2 linked regions of the Drosophila melanogaster genome follow. The protein of the gene in region 1 interacts with the protein of each later gene in a biochemical or structural test. Each region holds a gene or a part of one and is shown on either strand. Other genes may lie near its edges. The genes, in order: dpn and dgrn.

The links.
Region 2: of the proteins of dpn (region 1) and dgrn, one has a biochemical effect on the other in vitro, tested with the Drosophila melanogaster proteins (one study listed by BioGRID).

The regions. Positions count from the first base shown.
Region 1 is NT_033778.4:8,228,359-8,234,069, forward strand, and holds dpn (deadpan), read right to left. Parts: upstream 3,973-5,711; 5' UTR 3,691-3,972; coding exon 3,565-3,690; intron 3,337-3,564; coding exon 3,241-3,336; intron 3,231-3,240; exon of another isoform or gene 2,746-3,230; intron 2,708-2,745; exon of another isoform or gene 2,145-2,707; coding exon 1,059-2,144; 3' UTR 613-1,058; downstream 1-612. Other genes in the region: CG34217 (uncharacterized protein), read right to left, coding at 1-257. UniProt on the Drosophila melanogaster protein: Transcriptional repressor of genes that require a bHLH protein for their transcription.
Region 2 is NT_033777.3:5,822,611-5,827,243, reverse strand, and holds dgrn (degringolade), read right to left. Parts: upstream 2,630-4,633; 5' UTR 2,296-2,629; coding exon 2,269-2,295; intron 2,212-2,268; exon of another isoform or gene 2,209-2,211; coding exon 1,800-2,208; intron 1,746-1,799; coding exon 1,656-1,745; intron 1,440-1,655; coding exon 1,006-1,439; 3' UTR 668-1,005; downstream 1-667. Other genes in the region: Sec20 (secretory 20), read left to right, coding at 2,803-2,883, 2,937-3,539.

The sequences.
Region 1 (5,711 bases):
AGGGCTCGGAGTGGGGCTTCCAGTTCCGGGGTGTGGGTACCAGCGAACAAGGCCTGCATGTAGATGGTGGAGATCTTCTCCAGAGCGCCATCCAAGGTGTTCAGAATGGTGTCCTCGGGATCGTGTAGGAGCTTCACAGGACCCGTGAGCTTTGGAGAAGCACGGTAATGGTGCAGACCATCTTCAGAACTAGATGCCAAACTAATAGCTGGCAGGATCGCCACAGTTAGTAACACTTGAAACAGATTTCCTGGCATGGTAAAATTAAAATTTTTCAATTAAATTGTTTTTATAATTTCTGAGATTTTTCAATGCACGCCTGAAAGTCACTGCGCGCTCTTGATTGCAATAATTTAGTTTTTGACACACTAAATGTGTTCCGCCTATTGCTTATATAGCATGGATTGGGAGCTTTCGATTGAGTTATCTTTTCAATCAAACTTTGCGAAAACATCGAACATACATGATAAGGCTGTTTCCGTATTGATTTGAATTCAGCTTCCGACTTTTCAATGAGTTCAAGTACTATTGATTGTTGATGCGATCTTGAATTTTCCAATTCTAATCAGTTAAGAACCAAGGAACCATTAAATTTGGATGGATTTTTCTTTTGCAGCATTTTTTTTTTATTATCATTATTTTCACTCCATCGAATTTTGCATTACCTAAAAGTTAAAATTACAATCGTTAAATTAAAACACTAATATAGAAACGTGAATGACCTAATGATAAACGCTATACAATGAAAACTACATAACTTAAATAGAAACACGTTTAATTGTTTAAATACTTGAGCAGTTAATGAAACATTAAAGAACATAATTATTTAATGAACTACATAATAGTCGTATAAAGCGCTTAAACGAGAACTACACAAAAAATATACAAAATCACAGCTGAACTTAAAATGAAGAAAGCGAAACGGGGATACATAAAAACATATAGAAATCGTTGAAACTTAATGGGGTTCTAAAGCATTGAAGTGATCTTTGAAAAAATTGCAATGAAATAAATTAACAATGTATAAACGTAACATAGAAGTGGCCTGTGCGGTTGATCTACCACGGCCTCCAAGCGGAGCTCGACTTTTCGATGGCGCCAGCTAGGAATTTCTTGGACGAGGGCTCGTCCAGGGAGCAGTCGCTGGACTCGGCCTCCGCCTCCCTGTCGCGCTTGGCGATTCCGCTGGTGGAGCTCACTTGCTGTTGCTGCAAGTGGGCCAGCGGTCGCGAGCATCCGCTGCTGTCGTGGCTTCCGGCACTCAAGTTGAGGGATCCGCTGGTGTTGAAGGAGGTCTCCGCGCTGGTTGGTGGCGGAGTTGAGAAGACGCCGGCGAAACTGTGCTTGCTCATCACATCCACGGTGGGCGAGGCAGCCCGGGACTCCTCGCAGTGGCTGGAGATGGAGGAGATTGGGCTCAGCGGTGGGCTTGTGCTGTTCTTCACCGGCAGCTGCGTTTGGCCGGGCAGTGTGTGGATGAGGTTTTCCGGAAGATTGGCCGGAACTGAGGTATTGACCGGTTTGCTGAACGCGCTCATCCTGAAGCTCTGTGTATAGTCATTTAGATGTGTGGGATTGGCAATGCTGGCCAAGGCGGCACTGGCTGTTCCAGCTGCGACTCCCGCTGCAGATCCTGGCCAGGCAAAGGGTCCCGGAGGCGGAGCAGCGGAACCTGTGTTCGGCATGATGAGGGCAAACTCTCCCGAGGGCAGGCGGGAGGGAATTAGCTGAAGTCCACCCATTTGGATGGCCGGAGCCGATGACTCCGTGCGGCTGTTGTTGTTCAAGTCCTGCGGCAACGAGGGAAACAGCGGAGTGGGAGCAGCCGTGACAGCTGTGGCGGGAAACAAGCCACCACGGTATCCATTGCTGAAGTTGCTCATCGAACCGATCTGCTCCAGACTATTGGCACACTGGTTAAGATGGGCGCTGAGCCGCTGACGAACACCGGTATCGATGCCATCCATTTGGCTTACATAGCGGTTCACCTCCTCCGCGCACTCAACGAATCCCGTCTTGAACTTCTGGACAACGCTGGGATCCGATTGGATGGCCATGTTGAGCTGCTGGCGCTGCACCGACTGCAGATGCTTCACCGTCATCTCAAGTATGTCGGCCTTCTCCAGTTTGGTATGACGAGCCGGCTAAAAGTATAGAAGACGAAGGAACCAAAGTCAGATAATGATGAAATGGGGATGGGGTGGGAGATGGTCGGGCTAATTGTTTGGGGCCCTACAACAAGTTCAATAGCTTGGGAAAAAGCGAAGTTAAGAAGCACGTTTCGTGCCTCATATGTCCAACTATTCGCGTGTAATCTGCAGTCCACTTCAGTCGAGTCCACTCTGTAAATATCACACGACCAAGGTGAGATTCAGCAACTCCAGCGAGAAGAACGACTGATCTTGCTACTGTGCACTGAGCAAAAAGGGGGCTTAAAGTCAAATTTTCTGGCAAGTGAATACTAATGATGGAAAAGTGACTGTCTTTAGTAAGTGGTTCTAAAATAAACTACTCGCCGATCTTATCGTTTGTGATCTCATATGAAGACTTTTTGGGCACAGAAGATTCCAAATCGTTCTTCCTGATCTTCTTTTTTCGCGCAGTGCGATCTTCGCCAGTCTTCGGTCCCCGATTGTTCGTCCCTTTCTCGCCGCTGGGACTGCATATTTTAGCAAAAGGTTCCCACGCAGGTCGCTCGCCAGCCCCGCCCCCTCAACCTCCCCCGCTCCCCTGTCTGAACCTTTTGTTTACTTTTGCTTTTTTCCCTCAATGTCTTTCTTATTTGATTTTTGGTCCGGCTCTCCTGCAGAATTCTGCGGCGGCAAATTTTACTTGATTTCTGCTTTGTAGTTTCTCACAGCAGGATCACTCCTTGGAAACTGGTTTCGTTCGCATCTCCGGCGATTTCTGCGTAATTCCTCGACTTGTTAACACTTTTTGGTCTCTTGACTGACTCCTCGTCGGCGCTCTAGTGTAATGATCATCAATAAAATTTAATACTCAATTAGAGCCCTTGGTTTGTGTTTTTTTTTTCAGTTCTTGTGTCGTAGGAGTTCGTTTTTTATACATTTTTTTGTTCTTTTGTAGTTCTGCCGCCCTTCGGACACTTGTGCCTTAAAGGTTTTTTTTTGTGGACTAACATTATTTATAAGAAAGTGAACCAAAAGGGATCGGGGGCTAGTTTCTAATTCGCGGGCGGACCGCTCCTTTTCTGCTTTGACGCTCGGGCAAGATACTTACGTCTTTTTTCATCGCCTCCAGGATAAGGGACTTCAGTTCGTTGAGGCAGTGATTAATGCGAGCTCGGCGACGTTTCTCCATAATCGGTTTGTTGGTCTAGAAAAGAAAGGGAATCAATTAGTTTATTTCGTAGGAATTTATTTCAGTTTAAGGGATATCTTTGTTTATATAAAACAAGGGTTTCACTTGATTTTTAAAATTAATTTAATGCTTTACATTTTCTAAGCCATTAAAATGAAAAGGTTCAAAACGATCGAGGGTGCTAATAAACTCTGCTATTTTTTAGTTTGCGAGTCCAATTTCATCGCAAAAGAGCGAACTCACCTTTCTAAGTTCTGCTTTTGACAATCCATTGGGATTGGACATGCGTCCATTGGAGCCATAGCTGTCGCTATAGCCGTTGGAGCAGTCGAAATCGTCGTCGGAATTAATATCGTTTTTGTAATCCATTTTGTAACGATTTTAATTTGTATATCCAAGTGGGAGATAATCCAAGATAGTTCGATTTCGATTTGGTCTTTTTCACAACACAATAACTTTGGTTCGAGTACGAAAATAGTTATAACAATTATTGCACGTACTTCTTAGTAATGTCCGAACAACAAAAACTTAACAAGCGGTACGCGTTAAAGATCGTTCTGGTTATCGAATCGTATAGAATAGTATTTTAAATGTTCATTCAAAGGAGAGCGGCAGACGACCGCGCTCGCGAGATGCCAAAAGGATACTGATCCTCCGAGTCCACGGGCACCAGCTAAAAACGAATCGGGTCGAAGCCGAAACGAGTCCACGAGTGAAACCGAGGGACTCTCTTACCTGGCGACGCGGGCAGCGGCAGAGGCAGAGCTGAGGCAGGTAGGCAGCCCAACGATCGCCGTCCGCAGACTGAGAACTTTTCACCGCAGCAGCGCAGTTGCGCTCAATCGGAGAGTGAGTGAGTGCATAACCACCCCAAATCCAATGAGTTCACACTCGGAGTGAGATTTAAGTGAGTATTTGAGTAGGTATTCCCAGGCAGGCAGAGTTGCCGAGTCAACGAATTGCGGATTCCAGGGGATTAGTGAAAATAGGAGCTTAACTCAAGTAAACGAGACTAAGTCGAGCCTGATCGAGAAACAACACAACATTCGGTTAAGCCAAGTCATTAGCCTTTGGCTTGACGAAACCCACAAAATTTAGTTGATTTTATTGTAAAATACAGCAAGCATTGTATATTAAATAATTTTGAAGGAAATTAAGCATTAAAATCAATAACATATCATTAATGAATTTAAAGTTTATTACAATTTAACAAAAATTTATAACTGAATTTAATCTTCTAATTCGTGTCGAAGCCGACTTAATACCCAATCTATTTGTTTTAGAATATTCATATATTTAGCAATAATTATACAAAGCTACTATAAATCTTATGAATATTATTACTTTACTTTTTTTTACTTTTTACTTGCTTATTACTTTTAATGAATTGATTAAAGCAATAGTTAACAAAAATATGAACTATATTCAGAGAATTAACAGCGATTCTTCTTTAGTACTTGAAATTTGCTAAAGCAAAGCAAAAAATCTTTAGTTCCTTAAAAAATGTATCAAGTGAGATTTTCTATAAGTTATCAGTGAGTAGCATTATTTGCGACAGATGTTCCGTTTGTGTCCGTTTCCCTTTTGGGTGGCTGGCTGATGGCACATTTAGTCGCACAGATTTCACCCTTGGCAAGGACAAACTTGATCAATGCCCGGCGAATGATTTGCAATTCATTAAGGAGAACTCCTTGGCAATTGTTCGGCGCAGCTGCCGCAACCCCCGTGACAACCCAACCCCCTTGCAAGGCGAAATCCTTAGTTTCAAATTCTTCGCTTTTGCCTGGTCGGCTCATCGGCAGAAGCGTCTTAGGGGGTTGCTTGGGTTTCGGGACGGAATCGCGACTTGCAATGGATCGGAATCGGACCTGGATCGGTCGTGGGTCTGGGACTGAGGGTCGGGGTCAATCATTACGGAGCTTACCTGGCTGGGCCAATTTTTATAGTCGATCCCCGGCAGATTTTCCTTTTTCAGGCAAATTTATTACTTTACGATGTTGGCAGGATTACGACCAAAGGAGTTGTCAATAACCACTGACGCGGGCCATGCGCCAGCTGACAGCTGACGTAGATCTACCTATGGACCGATTTGGGGAGTTTTGGGTGGGATCGTAAACGTATTGCGCCGCCTGGCAACCCTGGTTGTGCAAAGTGATCCCTCGCGGCCTGAGCGTAAATCCCGTGTTGAGCAATAATCTGTGGCGATCATCCATCATGCACAAGCTCTGCAGCACTGATCCGATGTCAACTTTCGTAAATTGAATAAATGCCACGGCTACGATTGACCAACTAAAACATCCACAGCAACTAAACCATGGGGTTCGGCTGAATTCTGCACTGATGAGCACATCACCCTGCTTAATGGCGATCACTTTGGCTCCTTTGAACGC
Region 2 (4,633 bases), on another chromosome or scaffold:
AGCCATACTTGCTCCAACGTGGAGTTATGCCATCCAGGTGTGGGGAACTGCCGCCAAATCCCAGCTCAATAGGCTCCGTGTCGTCTAGTCGAGAGCTGCACGTCGTGCTTTTGGGCTCCCCTGGTACGTGACAAACAAGGTAATCGAAAGAGATCTGAAAGTTACCCCTCTTGGGGATCAGATTAATTTTCACAGCAGCCGTTATGCCGACAGGCTTATGGTCCACCCGAACCGACTAGCAAATAGCCTATCTAATCCCATCTCCCTCCGAAGGCTGAAGAGGGTACACCCCACCGATCTCCCTACACCCTTACACAATAAGTAATTAATAACTAGATACATTTTCCCTTTTGTACTTAATAATTAAGAAACCACTTGGTCTAATATACCTTTATACACACATAAGGTTAAGTTCAGAGGAATTGACCGAACGATTCCTTTTGGAACCAAAATAAATAGAATGAAGTTTAAAAAAAAAAAAATATATTGTTATATATATACAAAATTGGAGGGAAAAAGTCTCTTTAAAGACACTTCATGTTCCACCTGTTTCCAATTTATCCTGTTTTATCGACCCTTTAATGATCTCAGAATTCCATGTCTGACTTCTGTCTCAAAAAATAGTAGCCAACAATAAAAAATGAGATTGAGACAAACCTGTTGATATGCGTTGGGACCATTTTATTTATTATATTATATGTATGTTACATTGTTAAATTGCGTTTGGAAAAATGCCTACATAATACTTTGACACTCCTTTCGGTCGTTCTTATATTATTCTAGCCTGAGATGGTTTCATACATCAAAAGTGAAGTCTTTAGTTTTTATAGTTGTATTCAAATATTTTTGGGCGCCACTGATTACATAGGACAACTTAAATAACTAATTTTTTCTGAATCACAAGAACAGACATTATTTGCCGTCTCTAACATAGTTAAGCGTTTTTTTTTAAACTATATTATATTAAGGCTCACAGAGCAAAAAATGTGAAATAGTATAAGCAACTTACAAGTAAATGCGAAAGAATTGACGTGCGGTCAGCTTCTTGTTGCATATTGGGCACTTGTGCGTAGCTCTGATGGCTGTTTCGATGCATTCGCGGCAGAAGACGTGTCCACATTTGGTTGACACTGGCTCGCGCTTCGATACACTGTCCATGCAGATGGGGCACTTGTATAACTCCTCTTTTTGGGACTCATCAATGTCGCGATTAACGCGTTTTGGTGGCGACGCAACGTCGAGATCCACTACCGGGTCATTTTCGGCTGACCGACGTGGCAGAATGGTGAGGGAGTCGTTGGAGTGAAGATTCACTGTGCGACTTCTTGGGCCTTCGGGGGTGCATAGATCGATGAAAGCATCGGGATCACGATTCCGAGCGGATCGAACAGGTGGTGCACGGTCCAAATGGGACAGATCTATCACTTCTACTGGACTCGCTACGGAAAAAGTAAGAAACGGTATTCGGTTTATTGCTAGCTCTATCCGCGAAAGCTATCTGGTTTTCACAAAATTTTAAAAAATATAGATAAATTTTGCCTTCAAAAGTAAGTAACCCGGCAGGGTTATAGAAAGAACTATGTCATTGGTTATTGTGGAATTAAAAACATTGTTCATTGTGAAACCCAGATGCGTTCATTTTGATCTGCACTTACTTCTGCGGCGAATTCTACGAGTTGTTGGCGTTGAGGTTCTCGTGGCGAAGGTGTCAATCTGTGCCACAACTTCCTCGCAGTAGCGATTCACTGAAATATGAAACAATTAACAGAAAACTTCGTAATGATTATGGAGTGACATACTGCGATCCAACTCTGCTTCCATCTGGATCACATCCTGGGTAAGTGATCTGATCTGCGAATGAGCATCTTCAGTCGAGACAGACAAGTTAGCCATATTTAAGGGGTTATTGCTTTGCGGTGACTGCAGTTGGTTTGAAGCTTCTCCGACTGAAGATTCGCTGGTATTGGTGGCTGAAGATGAGTCTGATTCCACAGATAAATCACGCTCCACTGGGGATGGGCGTTCCAAGGACGAATGGGAATCAGCGGATGAATCAGATTCCGCGGATGACTGAGATTCCACGGATGTATTGTGTCCCGAATTGGATTCTATGGATGAATGGGAGTCCACAGAAGAGTCGGATACACTGGAATTGGAGCTCGAACTGGATACGTTGCTGTCCGCTGACTGATCAAGAATGGATGAGTTCTACTAAATAAATCAATCATAAATCGGAATTAACTAGTTTAAAGTCCAGGGTATACTTACAAAACGGAAAATAGTCGAATCTGACATTGTTCGAGCAACAAATGACCAGGAAACTTGTGAAATGATTTCGTAGTAAAGACAAAAGCAGGTGAACCCAGATATACATGTGCTTTAGTGCAGATTGAAATGTGCAAAATAGTTTCCTCCTTTCACGCGACCATTCGGTTATTTTAAAGATGACACTTTACGGACATTCGGGAACAAGGATTTAAGATCGACTATCGATTTTTGCGGTATTATACAATGCTGTTTAGAATGACACTTGTAATTCAATAAAAATCAATAATTTATTAAAAATAAAATTTCCGTTTCGGCGAAATTCTTTGATAACAAAATAATTATAAGAAATGTATATAAATATGTCGACATTACAAAACCATACCATCACTATGTAAACGATATTTTTTAGGCGATTAAATGCCATCGATATATACCGTGCCGTGGTAGTGTTAGAAAATTGCGGGAATTAACGTTAAATGCACGTCACCAAAGCAGAATAATAGAATATTTTCGAAACAAAACAAAGTTGGAGACATGGACAAGGATGCGTTTACATTACAGGCCATACGGCAGGACCTTATCGATAACAATCTGCAGGCTAAGGCAATAATACACGTAAGTCTCCGCTATCTGAAGAGAAACCCTCATTACCGAGCTTCTGTTTTTAGGACATCCTGAACAGCCGCACCTCCATCGCCGAACTCGAGGAGCTGAACGAAGCGGGCCGCTCCAAACTGTCTGCTATCCGCAAAAGCATCGAGCGGCTGGACGACTGGGCGCGGGACACGGCAGACTCTGCGCTGGCCAATGAAGTGGACGACCACCGTGATCAGTTCTCCAAAACGCTGCAGGCGTTCCGAAAAGCAAACGTGTCCACGATGCTGGAGATCGAGAAGGCCAATCGGGAGGAGTTAATGGCCATTACCGGCGAGAGTGAGCTACGCCAACGAACCACAACACGGGCGCGGCACAACCAGGGCAGTCTGGTTTCGCAGGAGAACGACGTGACCGAGAAGATGCTGGCTATATCGCGGCACCTCTCGGAGACCACCCAGAAGAGCGCCATCACCCTGGAAACGCTCGTGGCCTCGTCGCAAAATGTGGAGGCCACCAGCGACGAACTGCACCACACGGCCGGCAGCATTAGCATGTCCGGCAAGCTGCTCAAAAAGTACGGACGACGCGAGTGCACTGACAAAATGCTGCTCTTCTTCGCCTTCTCCTTGTTCCTCGCCTGTGTCTTTTACATCGTCCAAAAGCGACTCTTCTAAGACTCCACAAATGGACAAAACCCGTTCCCAAAATAGCTTAAGGTTGTCGCTTCTGTTGTCTAGGTATAGCTAGATTAAGCTTAGCACATGACCATACCTTGTAAGCACAGCTCCTATATTTATATTATTTAGTGATTTGCCTAAGTTGTAAACGTGGTACAGCCAAAGACCCTAGAATAACAAGATGCGTAACGCCATACGATTTTTTGGCACACGATTTTTTGGCCGTGGCTCTAGAGGTGGCTCCAGGCTCTCTCGAATTTTTGTTAGAGAGCGAGAGAGCGAAGAGCGCTACAGCGAACAGCTCTTTTCAACGCACAAAGTGATAGCAGACATCTGTATGTGTGCACACGTATTCACATGCATTGTAAATTTGACAAAATATGCCCTTCACCTTAGAAGTTCTTTGGCTTTAAATCTATATTATTTTTTATCAATTGGCACCATGCGAAAAATTCTTGTTTTGCATTGCCTTAACGTTATTATTATTTGAAAATAGATTAGAAATAGTCAAATCTATGTACATATTATCACAAAAATAAATTTCAAAAATGAATTTATATAAGAATATTTGTCATTAGAGTATTCATCTTGCGGCGTGTGAAAAATTAATAAGGCAATGATTGTTGAGTGCTTGTGTCCGCACTTCGTGCCTCAAGATATGAACAAAGCAAAGACACTAGAATAATTCTATTGTCTTTGATATTACTTTTGCAATTTAATTTAATTGCATATTTAATTATTTAGTATATTTATTAAATCATTTGACTTAATATGATGTAACATTAACATTAAAAGTGTTTCAAAAAAAATATTTCGGTTTTAAAAAATTGTCAGATGAGAGACAAATTAGAATTAAACATAAATACAAATGTGTAAACGGTAGCTAATTCGAGCGGCGATTTTAACAAAGAAATTTAAAAAAGCTTTAAAATTATAATAGCCAGGGCGCGAATTTTTAAAAATTTTTTATTTTATCATATTGCTAGGAAATTGGCAAAAACTACCCTAATATGTACCATGTAAATTCGTTTCTTCGATCAGAATTGATTTCGGCCCGAAAATCGTCTTCTAGCACAACACGCACACTTATA